4 linked regions of the Arabidopsis thaliana genome follow. The protein of the gene in region 1 interacts with the protein of each later gene in a pairwise test. Each region holds a gene or a part of one and is shown in the gene's direction. Other genes may lie near its edges.

What was found.
Region 2: the proteins of AT2G38250 (region 1) and SWC2 interact in a two-hybrid assay, tested with the Arabidopsis thaliana proteins (one large-scale study listed by BioGRID).
Region 3: the proteins of AT2G38250 (region 1) and AT3G07260 interact in a two-hybrid assay, tested with the Arabidopsis thaliana proteins (one large-scale study listed by BioGRID).
Region 4: the proteins of AT2G38250 (region 1) and MYB106 interact in a two-hybrid assay, tested with the Arabidopsis thaliana proteins (one large-scale study listed by BioGRID).

What each region holds. Positions count from the first base shown.
Region 1 is NC_003071.7:16,016,091-16,020,890, forward strand, and holds AT2G38250 (Homeodomain-like superfamily protein), read left to right. Parts: upstream 1-2,119; 5' UTR 2,120-2,293; coding exon 2,294-2,599; intron 2,600-2,846; coding exon 2,847-3,410; 3' UTR 3,411-4,066; downstream 4,067-4,800.
Region 2 is NC_003071.7:15,405,669-15,412,159, reverse strand, and holds SWC2 (DNA binding protein SWC2), read left to right. Parts: upstream 1-2,247; 5' UTR 2,248-2,471; intron 2,472-2,705; 5' UTR 2,706-2,729; coding exon 2,730-2,797; intron 2,798-2,935; coding exon 2,936-3,005; intron 3,006-3,182; coding exon 3,183-3,254; intron 3,255-3,356; coding exon 3,357-3,400; intron 3,401-3,484; coding exon 3,485-3,758; intron 3,759-3,859; coding exon 3,860-3,935; intron 3,936-4,008; coding exon 4,009-4,128; intron 4,129-4,221; coding exon 4,222-4,290; intron 4,291-4,389; coding exon 4,390-4,432; intron 4,433-4,647; coding exon 4,648-4,713; coding exon of another isoform or gene 4,714-4,789; exon of another isoform or gene 4,790-4,898; coding exon 4,899-5,094; 3' UTR 5,095-5,113; intron 5,114-5,189; 3' UTR 5,190-5,538; downstream 5,539-6,491. Other genes in the region: UGT73C1 (UDP-glucosyl transferase 73C1), read left to right, coding at 154-1,629; AT2G36730 (Pentatricopeptide repeat (PPR) superfamily protein), read left to right, coding at 5,587-6,491. UniProt on the Arabidopsis thaliana protein: Component of the SWR1 complex which mediates the ATP-dependent exchange of histone H2A for the H2A variant H2A.F/Z leading to transcriptional regulation of selected genes (e.g. FLC) by chromatin remodeling.
Region 3 is NC_003074.8:2,307,795-2,312,011, forward strand, and holds AT3G07260 (SMAD/FHA domain-containing protein), read left to right. Parts: upstream 1-1,814; 5' UTR 1,815-1,909; coding exon 1,910-2,492; intron 2,493-2,663; coding exon 2,664-2,836; 3' UTR 2,837-3,189; downstream 3,190-4,217. Other genes in the region: AT3G07255 (nuclear transport factor 2/RNA recognition motif protein), read right to left, coding at 79-532. UniProt on the Arabidopsis thaliana protein: May play a role in the control of plant organ development. Does not show transactivation activity in yeast.
Region 4 is NC_003074.8:45,641-50,518, reverse strand, and holds MYB106 (myb domain protein 106), read left to right. Parts: upstream 1-2,222; 5' UTR 2,223-2,375; coding exon 2,376-2,512; exon of another isoform or gene 2,513-2,613; coding exon of another isoform or gene 2,614-2,621; coding exon 2,622-2,746; exon of another isoform or gene 2,747-2,830; coding exon 2,831-2,960; exon of another isoform or gene 2,961-3,048; coding exon 3,049-3,401; exon of another isoform or gene 3,402-3,478; coding exon 3,479-3,900; 3' UTR 3,901-4,123; downstream 4,124-4,878. UniProt on the Arabidopsis thaliana protein: Functions as a repressor of epidermal cell outgrowth and negatively regulate trichome branch formation. Acts both as a positive and a negative regulator of cellular outgrowth. Promotes both trichome expansion and branch formation.

The sequences.
Region 1 (4,800 bases):
GTGGCAGAAAATAGTTTTTTTTTTTTTTATAGATAAAGTGAAAAATCTAAAATGGCAAAATCAACAATAATCCAAAACAACAAAATCAACAAATCTAAAAAACTCGTTGATTGTTTTGAAGACAACAGCTATGTGGTGAAGAAAAAATGAAGAAAAACCAAAATCGACATGTGGGCTACTGTGTAAGATGCATTCATTTACAGCTACCAAACGCACACGTGACAATTTTTTTTTTTTTTTTTTTTTTGTTTGTATATATTATATAAATTTAAATACAATCGAAAACAAAAATTCTTCGTTAAACTCTTTTCAATGCTGTATTTGAAGCTTCCTATTTTTATTATTAAAAATATGTTGTTTCTAAAAAATATATATATATATATATATAAAAATTCTTTTCTTGACTCTACAAAATTTTTGTTTGCTAACAATTTTACCTTCACTGTTTACTATACAAAAAATCTCTGTTTTAGTGAATAATATATGCAACTAAGTTTTTCGCAATAAAAATACAATAAAAAAATTGTAGCTAGCTATAGTCTGGTCACAAACCATAGGAAATGTAGCCTCTAAAAATAAAATCAATAACAAATTTGTACTGATCTTTTTATATCGACATAAATTTGGTGAAAGTCCAAATAACATGTTTTTCGTACCATAATCAACCAAGTGGTGTTCCTTCAACAGATACATAAAACGAGGCAAAATAAAAGTGAACGAGGCAGACAAAGAATTTTCCAAACCTCATTTAAGGGACTAGGTTGACTTTAGTCCTTTACTTTAGAAGAGAGTTGCAGTTTTCATCTATTGTAGGGGTTACACAAAATTTGTTCTTATGTGAGTCCAATTGCCAAATTGTACATCACTCGAAGACAAATTGGGCCCAAACTGTGTAGAATGGGTTTGGGCTGCCAACCCATAATAAACCTTAAGTTGAAAATGAATTAGTTTGGCACATGCTTTTTTTTGTCATGTTCATGCTTTTAAAAAAATTCAAAATTGGCCTAACAAGTTTCACATCTCTAGAATGTTGTTCCTAGCTGGCTAGTTCCACGCACGTGTCACACTATAATTTGTCATTTCGTGAATGAAGAAATCATTCCAACACTTTTGTTATTTTGATAACCATACAAGGAATAACACGTGAAGGAATTTAGGAAACGAGAGATTCTAGAGAAGTCACCTAGTTTTGTATTTAAAAAAGGTGCTCAAAATTAGAAAAATATCGAATTTTGTTGAAAAAGGGAAAAATAAACAAAGACAAAGTAGTAAATAGAAACTTGGGCATGAAGCTAAGGATATGACTGGTCGCCGAGAATTAATAACCACACAGTATTATTACAAAAAGTATACAAACCGAAACTTCTCGCGGTGATGATGAAACCTCAACGCAATGTTATCGTCACATCAATTTGATTCCTCATTATAGTATGAATGAAAAAGCAGATTAAACAGAAAATACATAAAGAGCTCTATAACTCAATAGGAAATATTTACCACTCACCTATGTTTTTCTTACACTTTCACTCTAATTTATTTTGACAAAAGAAAAATTGTATTATATTATTTAAAGACTTGACTTTCTCTTTAATATTTTACTGTTTTTTATATTTAAAGCAATATAAAAAATTATCATCATTTTAATTAAATTTATTATCCCTACCATTTTACCAAACCAACTCAGTAATAAACTCATTTCATACACATATTTGACAAATATGTCGACTGTCAGAATCTAGAATACTATTTGTCAAATGAAAGTGATTACATTATGAGATAACGATAGAAATATCCACATCTCTCCTGATCACCAGTCAACATATCTTTTATTAACGAATTGACTGGTAGTTTAAGACGCTAATTATCCTTTGCTCTATAATACCATTTCAATCGATATTTTAACTAATTATATACTATTAGAAATGAAATGACAAATCTGCCGAAAGCTTTTTTCTTTTTAATATTTTGTCAAAAGAAGACACACAAAAAAAAAGTAAATTGTATTAGAAAAAATCCAAGACAGAGAAAAAAGTAAACGCGTAGACAGATGGCGACAGGAGAAAGAGAGAGTGGAGAAGAAGAAAAGAATTGCGATCAAAGAAAATTAGACTTCTTTCTTCCAACGTTTTCACATTACAAATACACAAAAACCAAAAGATAAAGAAAAACAAGAAATATTTTGTTTTTCGATCTGAAAAAGTGAAAGCTTCTTCAAAATCTTTGCTTTAGAGATCGTTTGGTGATTTTTTTTCTTTATTTTTTTTTTATAGTTTCTTCTTCTTGATTCTTTCATATGGATGGACATCAGCATCATCACCTTCACCAGCTTCAATATCTCAACAAGCATCATCTTCATACTCAATCGCAAACGCCGGAAATAGCCTCTCCGGTAGCTGTTGGGGATAGGTTTCCACAGTGGAGCGTCGAAGAGACAAAAGAGTTGATAGGGATAAGAGGAGAGCTAGATCAAACTTTCATGGAGACAAAACGGAACAAGCTTCTTTGGGAAGTTATCTCTAACAAGATGAGAGACAAAAGCTTTCCTCGTAGCCCTGAACAGTGCAAGTGCAAGTGGAAGAACCTCGTCACTCGTTTTAAGGTCTATTCTCTCTCTCCCTCTTCTTTCATTTTGTGGATGTTTTATAATCTTGGAGGTCTTGCATGGAACAAATAAATAAATAAAAATTTGTAACCAAGAAATATTGAATCTTATAGTCCATAATCTTTCCGGGACATATAGACAAACACCATTGTAAATATTTCTGAATCTTGTTGTCCATAATCTGCTAAGTAGTTTAATTATATGTATACAATCTCATTGGTGATGTATTGCTTGATGTTTCTAGGGATGTGAGACAATGGAGGCAGAGACAGCGAGACAACAGTTCCCTTTTTATGATGATATGCAAAATATATTTACCACTAGAATGCAGAGAATGCTATGGGCTGAATCCGAGGGAGGAGGAGGGGGAACAAGCGGGGCAGCGAGAAAGAGAGAGTATTCTTCAGATGAGGAAGAAGAGAATGTGAATGAAGAGCTAGTAGATGTCAGCAACGACCCAAAAATTCTAAATCCGAAAAAGAACATTGCAAAGAAGCGAAAAGGCGGTAGTAATAGTAGTAATAGCAATAATGGTGTAAGAGAAGTGTTGGAAGAGTTTATGAGACATCAAGTGAGAATGGAGAGCGAGTGGAGAGAAGGATGGGAGGCTAGGGAGAAGGAAAGAGCAGAGAAAGAAGAAGAATGGAGAAGGAAGATGGAGGAGCTTGAGAAGGAGAGGTTGGCAATGGAGCGGATGTGGCGGGATAGAGAGGAGCAACGGCGGTCGAGGGAGGAGATGAGAGCAGAGAAGAGGGATTCACTTATCAATGCATTGCTTGCTAAGCTTACTAGAGATGGTTCCCTCTAATCTTTTGTCAGCTTTGCTTAACCTAAATTAACTTGTTCTTATATGCTTGTTTGGGGTGTAGTGTAGGTACAATTATTTGGTGGGGGAAGATAATATCTACGGCAAATCTCAACACTCATATATTGATTGATATGATGACATATTTGAGTTTTAGTGAGGCTTTAGTAATTTATCATCCCCACATTATTTCTTCCTAGTTTATATTTTGGCGAGCCAAATTCTTATAGCATATCATTTAATCTTAGTAGTATACTGGTTTTAATTAGTAATTTGTAGGACCGTATGTGTAGTATTTTAGAGTAATTTGGATTTTGTTAGAGTTAACCTACAAATCCATATATAGTGCAGCGAATGTAATATCGGTTTCAAATATTATCTTCATGCAGAAGAGAACGAGGATACTAATAGTTTATGGTATTATGAACTAATTAACTTTGATGAGAATGTAGAGATCAAGAGGGCAAAACAGTTAGTGGAAATATTAAACATGCTCGAAACAAGAATGAAAACTTATCCTATGAATTATGGGATCATTTAGGTCCATTGTCTGCGATCTAAACTTTTATTATTTTACCATAAATGTTTTCTTGTAACATTGAGAATCATATCTAACATGGCAAGATAATACGTGAATGCGTATGGCGTTTCTTATCCACATAAATTTGTTTTACTTATGTTTTTTTTTTGTTTTCCACATAAAGATTAGTAAAGATCTTGTATTATTTTATTTGTAAATTTATATTTATATAATTATATACTAAGGAGATGCTTAATGAATAAAATACACATCACATGTTAATTCTAGAAAATACGTTAACCAGTTTTTTTTTGGTAACATTGTTGTTTCTTTATTTATTTACTAGCTATGAACTCATGCGTGGATTTATTTGTAAAAAATTTAACAGTTTTTTGTGTGACTAAAATATTTTATTGAAAATTTTGAAAATATGATTTTATATATCTATTTGTTGTTAATATTATAAACTCTTTGAATTTTAAAATTATCATGACAAATAGTAACAATTTAAATACATAACTAGAAATAACCTTTATACAACTCTTAGATTTTACAACATTTAGCAAAAGAACATTTTTTTGGTTAATGACTCTCTCTTTAGCTTTAGATATTTAGGATAACGACGTCTTTTTTTACGTATTAAATAAATTGTTGTATAGGAAATAGATTCGACGATTCTCATTTTGGTACCCGCAAATTTACTATTGTTTTTCGTTTATCTTCGCTGCATTAGTTAGTATAGCTCTTCTAAAAATAAGATATTTTGTAGAAATATATTCGTAAGTTTATCTACACTTTCTTTTAACAACTCATATTTTTCTCACATTCTTTTCAATATGTATATGAATTTCTTTCACAATTTTTTTTACAGAG
Region 2 (6,491 bases), 610 kb from region 1:
TGAACCACTTAGTGTGTTTTGTAACTATTACGAATAATAAGCCAATTTCCTTTTGTTCTTTCTTACATCACATCTTAATATATGTAGGCACAGAGAAACACACACATTATCGGAACCAAAGCAAAAAAAATAAACCTTAGAAGAGAGTTCCTCATGGCATCGGAATTTCGTCCTCCTCTTCATTTTGTTCTCTTCCCTTTCATGGCTCAAGGCCACATGATCCCAATGGTAGATATTGCAAGGCTCCTGGCTCAGCGCGGGGTGACTATAACCATTGTCACTACACCTCAAAACGCAGGCCGGTTCAAGAACGTTCTTAGCCGGGCTATCCAATCCGGCTTGCCCATCAATCTCGTGCAAGTAAAGTTTCCATCTCAAGAATCGGGTTCACCGGAAGGACAGGAGAATTTGGACTTGCTCGATTCATTGGGGGCTTCATTAACCTTCTTCAAAGCATTTAGCCTGCTCGAGGAACCAGTCGAGAAGCTCTTGAAAGAGATTCAACCTAGGCCAAACTGCATAATCGCTGACATGTGTTTGCCTTATACAAACAGAATTGCCAAGAATCTTGGTATACCAAAAATCATCTTTCATGGCATGTGTTGCTTCAATCTTCTTTGTACGCACATAATGCACCAAAACCACGAGTTCTTGGAAACTATAGAGTCTGACAAGGAATACTTCCCCATTCCTAATTTCCCTGACAGAGTTGAGTTCACAAAATCTCAGCTTCCAATGGTATTAGTTGCTGGAGATTGGAAAGACTTCCTTGACGGAATGACAGAAGGGGATAACACTTCTTATGGTGTGATTGTTAACACGTTTGAAGAGCTCGAGCCAGCTTATGTTAGAGACTACAAGAAGGTTAAAGCGGGTAAGATATGGAGCATCGGACCGGTTTCCTTGTGCAACAAGTTAGGAGAAGACCAAGCTGAGAGGGGAAACAAGGCGGACATTGATCAAGACGAGTGTATTAAATGGCTTGATTCTAAAGAAGAAGGGTCGGTGCTATATGTTTGCCTTGGAAGTATATGCAATCTTCCTCTGTCTCAGCTCAAAGAGCTCGGCTTAGGCCTCGAGGAATCCCAAAGACCTTTCATTTGGGTCATAAGAGGTTGGGAGAAGTATAACGAGTTACTTGAATGGATCTCAGAGAGCGGTTATAAGGAAAGAATCAAAGAAAGAGGCCTTCTCATAACAGGATGGTCGCCTCAAATGCTTATCCTTACACATCCTGCCGTTGGAGGATTCTTGACACATTGTGGATGGAACTCTACTCTTGAAGGAATCACTTCAGGCGTTCCATTACTCACGTGGCCACTGTTTGGAGACCAATTCTGCAATGAGAAATTGGCGGTGCAGATACTAAAAGCCGGTGTGAGAGCTGGGGTTGAAGAGTCCATGAGATGGGGAGAAGAGGAGAAAATAGGAGTACTGGTGGATAAAGAAGGAGTAAAGAAGGCAGTGGAGGAATTGATGGGTGATAGTAATGATGCTAAGGAGAGAAGAAAAAGAGTGAAAGAGCTTGGAGAATTAGCTCACAAGGCTGTGGAAGAAGGAGGCTCTTCTCATTCCAACATCACATTCTTGCTACAAGACATAATGCAATTAGAACAACCCAAGAAATGATTGTAACTTTTCTTAGATTGTAACTTTTCTTTTGTATTACCCAAAAAAAATGATTGTGACGTTTGTTCTCGATTACTTCTCTTTGTTCAAGAACAATTTATGATAGTTTTATTTGAAATTGTCTCTATTATCGAATCTTATACTAACATCTTAGTTAGTACATACTTATTAAGCATTCGAATTCGTACACTCAAATTGAAGAAAAAAACACAATTTCTTATATACTTTTTTTTTTTCTGTAGCTTTAGAAGAGTGTAGAAACCTTCTCCAGTGGTCCTGCATGAGATCGCAACTTCGATATTGCTTGCTCCTTGGAGTTTAGAGGAGTGTAGAAACACTTTTTGTTTGTTTACTTTTGCTTTCTCGATCATGACAAGTTGACAACTCGTGTTATATCCAAAATGACATCATGCATGACTTGAAAATTGAAATCTATCTATGATATTACCATTTCTGGACAATTTTGTTAACCGATTTATATATCTTAACATCTTTCTTTTTTGGTATTATTTACGTTACGATTTTTCATCGTAAATTTAATTTAAAATTTTATATATGCCAGTGTAAAAAGAAATTACTCAAGGTCATTAATAAAAATAAAAATAAAACGTTTTTCCCCAGCGGTCTATCATTGTAAGTTTTATTTTACAAAAAGAATCTTCTAATATAATATGGGCTTTGAAAATGTCTAAGTGGAAGGCCCATTAATATCTCAAGTCCAATAACAATGGTGTACGAACCAGCGGCACCGTGTGTGAAAGAGTGAATCAAAGAGGTGCGGCGGTCGCCGGCGAAGACGTGTGCTCGTCGAAGAAACTTCTCCAACCTAAAATTTTCCGAAGGTAACTCCTCGAGCGAGATTTTAAGCTCATCACACAAATTACTTTTCATTCTCGCTTTCATGGGCTCTTCTTCGATTACTGTGTACATCACTCAAATTTTGGGTTTTTGTTCCTGTTTCCCTCTCGATATAATCGTAAAGTCTTGAAATTGCGAGAAACCCTAATTTGGGGGTTCCTTGCTGATTTGTTAATTTGTGTGTTATGACATTTTCGTTTAAATTTGTGAACTTGTAGAAGTAAGAGTTGAGCAAGTTATCAATGGAAATCGATGAAGAAGAGCCAATGGTGTTCTTGGACCGTACAACAAGAGCAACACGGGGTAAACGGTAAGAATTACTTGAGCTTAAGCTTTTACCTGATGAATGTGTTTCACCTGAAGATTGTGGTTTTGTCTCACTGTTATTGAGATGTATCAGAAACTCTCTTGTGGAAGCTTTATTCATCAGTTTTCTGTTTTTTTTCAGGATGACCAAGTTGCTTGATGACGAAGTAGAAGAAGATGAACAGTTTTGGAATCAAGAAGCTCTTAAAGAGGTTTGTTTTGTTTTATATATAGCTTACTCTCTTAAAGAGATGTTAATGATTTGTTAAGGTAGACTAGATGTCAAAATATATAATGGAAAAAAATCAGATTTGTAGACAAGATACTATCGCAGAAACTTTCGTGTGTTTGCTGACATTTATGTATCTCTTTACTTTTGTTATCTGCAGGAAGAACATGATGATGAATATGAAGCAGAACGTGAGGTTGCTGATGAGTTTGACAGTGACTTCAATGACGATGTATTTATGTCTTGCTTATGTATTGAGTACTTATTCATCAAGGTTTTTGCTTATATTTCCATTCTTTTTAATTTCTTTCTTTTGCCTTTTGTTTGGGATTAGGAGCCTGAGCCTGATGCAGTCGCTGTAAATGAAAAAGAATTGAGGTTTGAATTTTTTCAAAGCTTGTCTTATGATGGCTATTATGTGTGTCTGTTTTAATTTTGTTACAATTTTGCATATTGTTGTAGGGATCTGCCAAAGAAGCGGCTGATTTACCCTGGGAAAACTGCTTCAAAGAAAAAGAAAAAGAAGACGAAGGTAGTTTCACAACTAGAATATATTCCTGGAGATGAGAAGCCAGGTGAAGAATTGGGAAACAAGGAACAAGAAGAAAAAGAAGAGAATGAAGCACAAGAAGATATGGAAGGTGAGAAAGTCATTAGGAAATCAACACGGACTTCAGTGGTTGTACGGCAAGCAGAAAGAGATGCATTGCGTGCTGCTATACAAGCAACAACAAAGGTTTCTCAGAACTCATCCCCACTAGCTATTTACATTCATGGCTACACTTTAATCTCTTTTCTAAGTCTTGCCATGTTGAATTCTTTTTTGTGTTTGTTCAGCCAATACAAAGGAAAAAAGTAGGGGAGGAAAAACGGATGACCCAAGAAGAAATGCTGCTGGAAGCTGCTCAAACAGGTTTGGCTTTTATGATGCTGCATCTGATTTGCTCTATCAGAAACTCAAAATTGCTAAAGTCAGGTTCTTGCAGAAATCATGAACTTGAGGAATTTAGAACGTGTCTTGGCAAGGGAAGAAGAAGTAAAAAAGAAAGCGATTGTGCATAAAGCAGTCTACAAGGGTCCTCAGATTCGGTATCATTCAAAAGATGGTAAGCTCTCCAGTAAAATAGTAATCCAGTCTAATTGGATCTTTCCAGAAAAGTAAGAACTATATTTGTTTAAACTTTTAACTTTACATGCAGGATGTAACTATTTAGAATTCTGTAATGGTGCGTCATTCAATTCAGAGTTGTCGACGAAGTCTGTTCCCTGTAAGTAATTTTGAGTGGTGTTTGGAGATGAACATAAATGTGTTCATATTGATCTATACTGATCTCTGTCTTTCTTTTGGTTTGTTTTCTCTTTTCCAGATCCAGAAAAAGCTGTATGTGTGATTACGGGATTACCTGCCAAGTAAGAGTTTTTCTGTTCTTCTTCTTTATTCATCGGAAGAACAAGATCTCTGGGATGAACACAAGTAGACTCTCTTAGGTCTACTAAAAAGAAGTTATCAGTTTCTTTGATATATACTTCTCGAAAAGAAATGATGTTATAACCTAGAAACCTGATTATCTTTTCTCTGCAATTTTAGAACTAGTTCTTAGCTGTTGTGTGTATTGCTGATACAGGTACCGGGATCCAAAAACGGGTCTTCCTTATGCAACTAGAGACGCCTTCAAAGCAATACGTGAAAGGTGTTGCTTGATCCAATTATTGCTGCATCGATGTTTTCACTTGTCTATAGAAGTATTCATCTGTTGTTTCCTCTAACGGATCAAGCAAATGAATGTTATCGAGTGAAACAGGCCTTTGATATTTACATTGTCTTTATTAGTGTTAGAATCTGATATTTCCCAGTCTTATGTTTATTGTTCTGAAGGTTCATGGACGAACATGATGGTTTGAGAAAGAAAATGGAGATGGGAGATTTGTTTGATACACTAGTGGCGAAAGGTTTTGCAACAAAACAAAAGAGAACGAAGATTCCAAAGAGTAACAAATCATTTTCCCTCAGAAGCTCAGCTCGTTTCCTTAGCTCCGAGTCTGAAGAAGAGAGTGAAGAAGATTCAGATTAATAAACACCTCCCTGATTTGGTTAGTATATTAATATAAAGCCTTTAGTTTTCATGAAACATGATCATGAACTCACAGTTGTAATCATGCTCTGCAGAATCTGCATCTCACATGATTGTGATACATCATTCATGGATCTTCCCACGACCATGGTTTTGGTTCTCAGAGATTAGAAGCGAGAAGAACATTCATGGAGGAAATTTTCATGATCAGAGCTTTGAAATGGAAACAACAACACTCTAATCAGAGATTGATCCTCCTAACCAAAACCTCTGACACCCATCTCAGAATCAGAGAGAAAGTGTAATCTTCTGTATATTACTGACCTTGTAAAGATGATATGTTTTGGTTGATAAATATCAATTTCACATTAAACCGAACCGAATAAGCTTTTGATTTTACTTCGGTTCCGTTAAAACCGTTCCAAATCTATAAATATATCACCGATTTGAAAATTGAAACTTTTTGCGATTTCTAAGAGCTCCAATGGCATAATGATTTGGAGTTCAGATTCATGCTTCAAATCCAGGAAACACCAATGTCTTATCTTCCTCAAGCTATGTTCCTCAATTAAACACCTTCTACAGATCCATGGTCAAATCCATCTCTCCTCTCTCCAAAATGACAGCTTTATCATCAGCGAGCTTGTACGGGTTTCATCACTATCCCTCGCCAAAGACCTTGCCTTTGCGCGAACCCTTCTGCTTCACTCTTCAGATTCGACTCCTTCTACTTGGAATATGCTCAGTAGAGGCTATTCTTCAAGTGATTCTCCTGTGGAATCGATTTGGGTTTACTCTGAGATGAAGAGACGAGGAATCAAACCTAATAAGCTCACTTTTCCTTTTCTTCTCAAGGCTTGTGCTTCGTTTTTAGGTCTCACTGCTGGGAGACAGATTCAAGTTGAGGTTTTGAAACATGGGTTTGATTTTGATGTATATGTTGGGAACAATTTGATCCATCTTTATGGTACTTGTAAGAAAACTTCTGATGCCAGGAAGGTGTTCGACGAAATGACTGAGAGAAATGTTGTTTCTTGGAACTCGATTATGACTGCTCTTGTTGAGAATGGTAAGTTAAATTTGGTGTTTGAGTGTTTTTGTGAGATGATTGGTAAGCGGTTTTGTCCAGATGAGACGACAATGGTGGTTTTGCTTTCGGCTTGTGGCGGTAACTTGAGCTTGGGGAAATTGGTGCATTCACAGGTGATGGTAAGAGAGTTAGAGTTAAACTGTAGACTAGGTACTGCACTTGTAGACATGTATGCAAAATCAGGTGGATTAGAGTATGCTAGGTTAGTTTTCGAAAGAATGGTTGACAAAAATGTTTGGACTTGGAGTGCCATGATTGTAGGATTAGCACAATATGGATTTGCAGAAGAAGCCCTTCAACTATTCTC
Region 3 (4,217 bases), on another chromosome or scaffold:
CGAATTATATACTAAAAAAAAACTATATACATATACCAACCAATTTTAGTTTATTTTTAAAAGAAGGTTGTTATATACCTTCTTGGCGAGAAGAGCTGCTAGGATCGGATACGGAGGAGGAGGTGCAAATGGGTGACCCAATCGTAACGTCTTTACTGCTTTCCTTGAGTCGACCCGACCCGTAACCGTTACACATGTTGATAGAGCTCAAATCCATATCATCGCCGTTACTAACTCCGTTATATTCTGTTCTGATCCTCTTGCACTCTCCTTCTTCTCCGCTTCTCTGCTGCTGCTTCGCCTCCCGCTTCTTCCGTGTTTCCTTTATCCTCGTCACATTCGTCGTTCTGCCGTCAAGATTAACGCCGTTATCCTTCTCGAATCCGACGGCGTTAGATTGTCCAAATGTTTTAGATTTCTCCGTTTTCTTGAAAGGACCTCCCAGGGAAAGACATAGCTCGAGCTCGAGCTCGACCTCCACATTCTCATCTTCTACAAACTTTTCTGCCATTGATAAAGATTCAACAAACATATAATGTCAAAAAGATGGTCTCTTGTCTTCCGCAAAATTTTCCTCTTGAAGGGTTTTGAAGCTTCGCCAACTTTGTTGTATGAGAAAGGAATATTATAAGGGGCGGAGATAATTAAAAAGAGAATGGTAAAGGCTTCGGAACATGACACATGTCCGATAAGGATAGTGGACATGGGCGGTTTCAAAATTCACTAAGAGAAAGGTTAAGAAACTTTATTAGCGCTACAATTTCGGATTATCGATAAACGCTTTCCATTTATTTTGTTGGTTTCTATTTCCATTGGTTGTAAAAATCAAGTAAAATTTTGACGAAAAGTACCGAGACGCCACGTGTAACACGTGCATGGAAACAGTTAACACGTGTACACTGAGATCCTGCTGGCTTTGACGAGGACACGTTGGGTGTTTTGAATTCTTGTGTTCGTATCTGACTCCGCGAATCTCGAGCATAAACACGACCCCGGGATTGACATGTGGCGACCATCTTCGAGAGACAGTGCAATAGGTTAGACAGTCCAGGTCAGCAAATGACGCCGTAACGGTTATTCTCATCTGATGTGTGTCGACGTGGTTCATGTTTGGCTGGCTTCATGGGCACGTGCTAGATGACAAATGGCTGTAAAGAATTATGTTGAGTAGATAGATGACTCGTGTCTTTATTCGAATAGTGGAATAGCTTGTTGAAGTTGCTTTATTATAGCTTGGCTATCACAAGTTCCAGCCTTACTCTTGCATGAATTGCACCTGGAAAGTGGAAAGAGGATTGAGACTATTTGAATTGTTGACAAGAAAAACAAAGGAAGATTCTGCGAATACACTGTGGAATATAGCAAATGTTCTTTTCTCGTTGTGATTTTTTCGGTTGATTAAATGTTTAACAAAATGTAAAGCAAAGATTCTAGAAAAAGAAAACCATTCTTGACTTTGCTATTTCTTTGACAAAAATGTGACGATATTCTTATGAACTTTTCATCATATTTTATCATCATAATTTCAAGCCTTACGGTTATCACATGATCCATATTCATGTCAATGTCATGCTTATCCCCGAATATTACATACTACTGGGTTTATGTACATAAGATCCGGTTCACGTTAATGGGCTGATGCTTTTTAGATAAGGCCCAACTAAAGCTGTTTCTTTTGTTAGCCGTGGAAACAAACTGCCCGTTTTGATTTGATCGCCGTAAGGCCCGTAACATTGACAGTGGAGAGGCTGAAAACATGATGGGTATAATAGTCATTTACTTGAGAAGCCTTTATATTTTTCATTGTACGGTTTAACCACAACATATCTAAACCGGTTTCCAAACACATTCTATTACTATGTAACCCCAAATTTGATCTCCGACTTCAAAATCGGAGAAATTTCACGGCATGGCTACAGCCGTTGGAAGCGGGAGCGATGTAGAGGTTGGATTTGCGAAGCTCCAAGGTGAGGATTTCGAGTACTATATGCAGTCTTACTCCATTATTCTCGGCCGGAATTCTAAGAAATCGACCGTCGACGTCGACCTCTCATCTCTCGGCGGTGGGATGAACATTTCTCGCAACCACGCTCGGATCTTCTATGACTTCACTAGACGACGCTTCTCTCTCGAGGTACTTGGCAAAAATGGCTGCTTCGTTGAAGGTGTCCTCCATCTCCCTGGGAACCCCAACGTCAAGCTCGATTCACAGGACCTTTTGCAGATTGGTGACAAGGAGTTCTACTTCCTGCTTCCGGTTTGGAGTATCCTAGGCGGTCCATTGGGACCCAGGCACCACGTCTTAGGGAAGGCTACTGTTGTTCCGTACCATAATTATCATTCGGGTCCAGGTTCCGGGTCGGGTAAGAATGGCGTCCGGAGTAGAGAGTTGTATGAGTACGATGATGAAGACGACGATGAAGAGGAGGATATCAGAGGCAGTGGAAAGAAAACATGGAGAGATGGACATGAAGGAGTATATGCCTCTGGAGGTAAAACCAAATTGCTCATGATAGCTTAACTTCATTGTGTCACTAAATAGATTTCAGGCTTGTTCTAGACTTTGAGTATAAGTTTTACTGTGGTGGTTGATGATTGAACCTTGTTAGACTTAGATTGAATGATAGTGACACCACGACATTGTATCTGCTTCATTTGTGCAGAGAAGAAGAGAGAGGGAAGATCAAAGGCAGATCGTGAAGCTGATGATCAACAATTTTTGCAGCTAATGCATGGTAGTGGTTGGTCTGTGACAGATATTAAAGGAGTATGGAAACGTATGGCATCACAGTCGAGTAAGAAGATACCTATCACAAGAAGACTGGGCTATCCCTGAAGCAAAAGGTAAACCATGGTACGGTTTGCTGATGCTGCTGAGAAAATACCCGGAGCATTTCGTCATCAACACGAGATCAAAGGGAAGAGTTACCCTTGAATTCGTTTCCCTCGTTACCCTACTCTCATAATCATCGAGATGATTGTTAGTGCAGGAGCAGGATGATTGGTAGTATATCTTTTATGTTTCCACGTAATGAGTGTATAAGTGGGTGTTAGGTGTTTTGACCTTGGTGACTCGTCGGATTAAGTTTTTCTCGCTTTTCTTTGTTACGTTGTATATGTAGAATGACAATGACATTGATGAGTAAAACACTCTCGGATTTAACCTTTTCTCTCTCTTCAAGAAATCGCATAAGCTATTTTCAGCCATATACATACTATAGCCTATATGGCTATTCAACATTAATACACTCTCGGGTAAATTTAACCTTTTAGTTGTTTTCTTATGGCGAAAGCGGATTTGGTTTGCATATTATTTAGTTGAAAAGAAAAATCAAACGAGAAAATATATCACAACCCAAAAGTATACTATACAAAATTCAGATAAAGTTGTCTCAAAAGTACTATGCATAGTACAGATAAAGTTGTCGGAAGGAAATATTAGTATGATTTTCCCCGTCTCATTACTGTACATCACTTAGTCAACGCATACACTGTTAAAAGTCAACACATACAATCATTCAAAAACGTTTGGAGTTTAACACATAACACATCACAAGAGTGATCATCACAAATTAGAAGTTTATTTTACAAACTTGAGCCTATTAAGTTTTTACTTTTTGGCCTAATGAAAATTGAAACCACTTTATTCAAACCCAAAAATCAACTTTCTTCTCTTGTTTTATCGGTGGTCAAGATCTAGGCTGTTCGCAATAACATTTATTATTTTTTTTTCCAATAATTTCGTCTTTAGTACCAACTTTCGTTTTATATATTGCTGCCGTACAACTTGCACTTGCTTACATGTTTATTTGTCTACAAATTATTACTTAAAAGTTAAAACAATATACAGAGAAATCTCCCTAAGTTATTGAGTGATAGTTTTAAGTTTTTTTTGTGAGATAAATTAATTACTATTTAGTATTTTACGTAGGTTTTGGTAAGATTCTTCGATTTTTTTTTTACTTACAAAAACAATAGAAAAAGACTGATGCATGACAAAATTCTTAGAAAAAAAAACTGATGCATATGATAACGTGAGTGAAGTTGGTGCTTAGAGTTGCTAATATTAATATATATATATATATATATATATATATATATATTGAGTGAAGTTTTTTTTTTTTTTTTTTCAATCATTGAGTGAAGTTTTTTTCTTCTTTTCTTTTCTTTTTTAATCTTCTGCTGCAGTCACAAACTCACAGTGATTGTAAAGCTGA
Region 4 (4,878 bases), on another chromosome or scaffold:
CTGTGATTAAGATGAAAGTTGTCTTGTTTGCTTCCTTCCTCTTTGTTGACTTTTAGTTGGATGATTTGGTCATGTCTTGTTGATGAAGATAGTGAATGAAAAAGGTTGGACCATAACTTACTGAGAGATGTTTTGATTGAGAACAAGCAAGTTTGACTTGCTTTTTGCGATGTTAAATCATCTTCTGGCTTAGGTCAATGGACAAGAAATGTCTAGATCCAGTGACAGATTACAGTCTCTGCGTTTGTATGTCTTGAGTTCAGTAATTACTAAGCGAACTTAAAAGTGTTTTACATTGTTTTTCTACGAAACAGTTTCGAGGAAAAAGACTTGAAGCATTCATGCATGTACTTGTTGTTTACTGTTTTTTCCATGCGTGTGACTGACTTGTTGTTCTATTCGGTAGAACGAGCACACACAGAAGCAAAAGACTTGGAGCATTGATGTGAGAATTTAAGAAACTATAATTTCTGGTCCAAAAACTGATGATGAAGAAAAGCAAATGGTTATCAGTTGACTTTAAAAGCTTTGGCCCCTCTTCTTAGCTCACTCAATCTCAGCTACGTTACGTGGATGGATGTGATTTTGACAAGTGGCAACATCATCATCTATGAAGTTTATTGAGCACTGTTTGGACCATAAAAGATGAAATCAGCCAAGACAATTAAAGAGGTGTCCCCATTGTCCTTTACATCTTTTGCAGCCAGTATGATTTAGTTTTTCCAAAATTCAATTTTGTTTTTATTGGTACAATTCGTTGGGCCTTATGATTTTGTCTTATGGTTTATCTTTGTGTTGATGAAGATACTTTCTTCTCTTCCTAGAAGCTTGGAGCCCACCTCAATAAATCCTTTCTTTGCTACCATGGCACACACTAGGATACTCTTTTCTTTGTTTGGTCTGGTAAAATCTCTTTAATGTCACCGTCACCGCCATTACTCGTCTACCTTTCTTGGCAGCCAAAGTTACCTTTGTCGACAACATTTGATCACCTGTAAACTATCCAAACCATGTATGCCACTAAAATTTTGCATAATGGTCAGTAAGTAACAAATTATACAATTCTGATTATGGTCAAATTTTACCTTTTGTGGTATGCTACTAGTTAAAGGGTAACCAAATAGTGGTTTTTACCTCATCAAGTCGCTATTTTGATGGTTAAGTTTCTGTATACTTTTCATCATTCATTGTCTATGTTAGTTTATCTTTGTGAAAAAATAGATTTTGTGATGAATTGACACCAAGAACAGTGGAGCAGCCAGTGGGACTTTCATTAAATGGTAAAGGAACCAGACAAGGAAAGGTTTTTCACCTCCTTTCTTCTTGCTCCCACCACATTAGTGTTTCCTCTCTTCATTTATAAGGGTTCCAAATTTTTACAATGGTTGAAACTCAGTGTTTACCGCGGTCATAGTTTTCTGATACTTTAGAGACAGTGACTATTAGTGTAAAAATGTGTTACCATAAAACTATTGTTGCTTCCACAGGGAGAATTATACCATTTGCAGAGCAATGACTAATTGAATAAACAACAAGTCTAAGCTAATGACATCATTGACAACCAATTAATTACTTGCAACTACTTTGCATTTTCCCTTTTTTTTCCTTCTATAATCAGGGTTTATGAATCATTAAGACTTTTTGCTCTAAGTTACTCCAAATATCATTAATCCTCTGTGTCTGATTTGCTTTTCCCATTATAGTGCCAGCTTCCACTTCTTCACCGCCATCTAACAGCATTTACTATTGTGGAGTTTCTACAAAAAGCTAACTAAAATGTGAAACGAAGAAATCAATAAACACGTTTCCATAAAGTAGTGTAACTTATTAGGGTAACTAGTTGTAGGCAAGACCGTAAGTAAGACAAAACAATAAGAACTTTGTAGCTTTCAAGAAACCATCACTCAATAGGATACCTGTAATAAGAAACCTTGAGCATCTTTTAGACCCTAGTGTAAGATAATTGAGTTTTAGTGAGAAGTGTTTAAAACTTGTAACTAGCTTAAATGGGTTTAGTGCATTTGGGGACTGTCGACAGCGAACCTTGACGCGAGAAAAATGCGGGAAAGTAACAAGAATGGTTTAAATGTCAAAACTGTTAAAGGACCACAAAGTTTGTTTAAGGCTAATGAGAAAAACATTCTTCTCAATGACATTATCCTAAGTTGCAGGGTTATCAAAGTGAGAGCTATTGATAGATGTTGACCTTAAAATTTACTCCAGGTTCTGAAATTCACTGTTTTACTTTTGTGTTGAGAGGTACAATTTCAAGGTAAAGATGGCTACAGTAATTGGGTGCTCTGTTGAGTCTTTAAAAGGAAATCAAGGTGTTGGAGCCACAAAGGTAATAATATCTCTCGACCCCATCCAATTGAATGCCAATCCATGTCAGAGACCGGGAAAAGGGGCGCTTACAGAACCTAAACAGAGACATCTTCTGTTGTGTTTCTCCATCTATATATCAGAGTGACGCCAAGAGAGCAGCTTTTGTGATCATACTGATCATGATCATGTAATGACAACTATCTCATACACTAGGTTATTAAACCGTGGATCAGATTGAAGCTAGCTTTTTCTTCAGTAGATTAGACTAATAACTTGTGTGGGAAAACAATGGGCAGATCGCCATGTTGTGATAAGGCCGGGTTGAAGAAAGGGCCTTGGACTCCAGAAGAGGATCAGAAACTTTTGGCTTATATTGAAGAACATGGCCATGGAAGCTGGCGTTCTTTGCCTGAGAAAGCCGGTAACTTGCTCGCTCTTTTCTCTTCAACAAAACCACACATTTTCTTCTAGCTCTATTCAAAGCTTTGCTTCAAACTCCTTATAGGTCTCCAAAGGTGTGGAAAGAGTTGCAGACTCAGATGGACTAACTACCTAAGACCTGACATCAAGAGAGGCAAATTCACTGTACAAGAAGAACAAACCATCATTCAACTCCACGCTCTCCTCGGAAACAGGTGACTCAATCACAATCTCTGCTTTCAAACCAAATAACCAAGTGATTGCTTTGAAAGCAAATTGATCGTCGTCCTTTAAATGTCATAGGTGGTCAGCGATTGCAACTCATTTACCAAAGAGGACAGACAACGAGATCAAGAACTACTGGAACACACACTTGAAGAAACGTCTGATCAAAATGGGGATAGATCCAGTGACTCACAAGCACAAAAACGAGACTCTTTCGTCTTCCACAGGACAATCAAAGAACGCAGCCACGCTTAGTCATATGGCTCAATGGGAGAGTGCAAGACTCGAAGCTGAAGCAAGGCTAGCTAGAGAATCAAAGCTTCTCCATTTACAGCATTACCAAAACAATAACAACCTTAACAAATCAGCAGCTCCTCAACAACATTGCTTCACTCAAAAAACATCAACAAACTGGACTAAACCAAACCAAGGTAAGGGACACATCGTCTTAAAAAAAACTCTCAACTTTGATTGGTTTTGGTAACGTATCAATGGAAAATTGTGACAGGAAACGGAGACCAACAGCTTGAATCTCCGACATCGACGGTGACATTCTCTGAGAATCTTCTGATGCCTTTAGGAATCCCTACGGATAGCAGCAGAAATAGAAACAATAACAACAATGAGTCCTCGGCGATGATTGAATTGGCCGTATCTTCGTCAACCTCCTCCGATGTGAGTCTGGTCAAAGAACATGAACACGACTGGATTAGGCAGATCAACTGTGGTAGTGGAGGAATAGGAGAAGGATTCACGAGTCTATTGATCGGTGATTCGGTCGGCCGGGGTTTACCCACCGGGAAAAACGAAGCGACGGCGGGCGTGGGGAATGAGAGTGAGTATAACTACTATGAGGATAACAAGAATTACTGGAATAGCATTCTCAACTTGGTTGATTCTTCACCGTCCGATTCCGCGACGATGTTCTGATCTAAGGGTCTTCAACCAAACATTTTTAATTCTCAGATTGTTTTTTAAATGTCGATAGCTTTCCAATACTTTTTACTTATCTTTATTTTCTTTATAAACTATTATATATATATATATATATATATATATGGGATGAAAATGAGCTTAATTTTAGTATTCGTTTTTGCAGAATTGCATGTAGCAAACCTGCAAATCCAATTTACAATTTATATATTATGCTTTTATGTTGTTGGTATACAGTTTGTTAGAAAAATATTTTAAGTGATAACGTCGTTGTCATTTGGCCAAATACATAAACCATAATAAGGGATCCTCCTTCAAATCCTAATACGTTTTTGTTTTGGGAATGAGCTTTCTTGAAAAGCCTATCGGCACAAAGATCCTTTTTAGTATCATTGCTTTGTTCGAATTTAAATTACTAATTTTGGGAATAATTAGGCGCTTTAACTATTGAGTTATAGAAGTTGAGCTTTCCTTAATCTTATATTGATAAGATGTTTCAAAATATAGGATTGGAACCACTCCATAATTCTTTAAAGTTGCTGAGTGCAAGCAATTGAAGGAAATAGATATTCATATTACTTATCCACCGGTTGTGGAGTATTTTTGTCTAATTTTCAAATTTTTCTATATGAGAGATGTCTGAACGAAGAGGCTGTAATTATAACAACAACACGTTGACATGTCGAGTAAAAGAAAGAAAATTCAATGCTTGGTTGTTTCATGTCCTTTTCTTTATCATAAATTTATTTATATACAGTATGATCCATAGTAATAAAACACAGATATTACTAATAGATTCGAGTCCACTAAACTTAAGACATTTTTAACAAAAGGTTACATTACATCCATCGAATTTGATAGTAAATCCTTAATCGTTTACTTAATGTGCATGCAAATTTGGGCGTAATAGTAAGAAGGATATGGGCCTGACGTTTGGTACTATTGAATAAAGGCCCATATAAAGCCCAATAATTT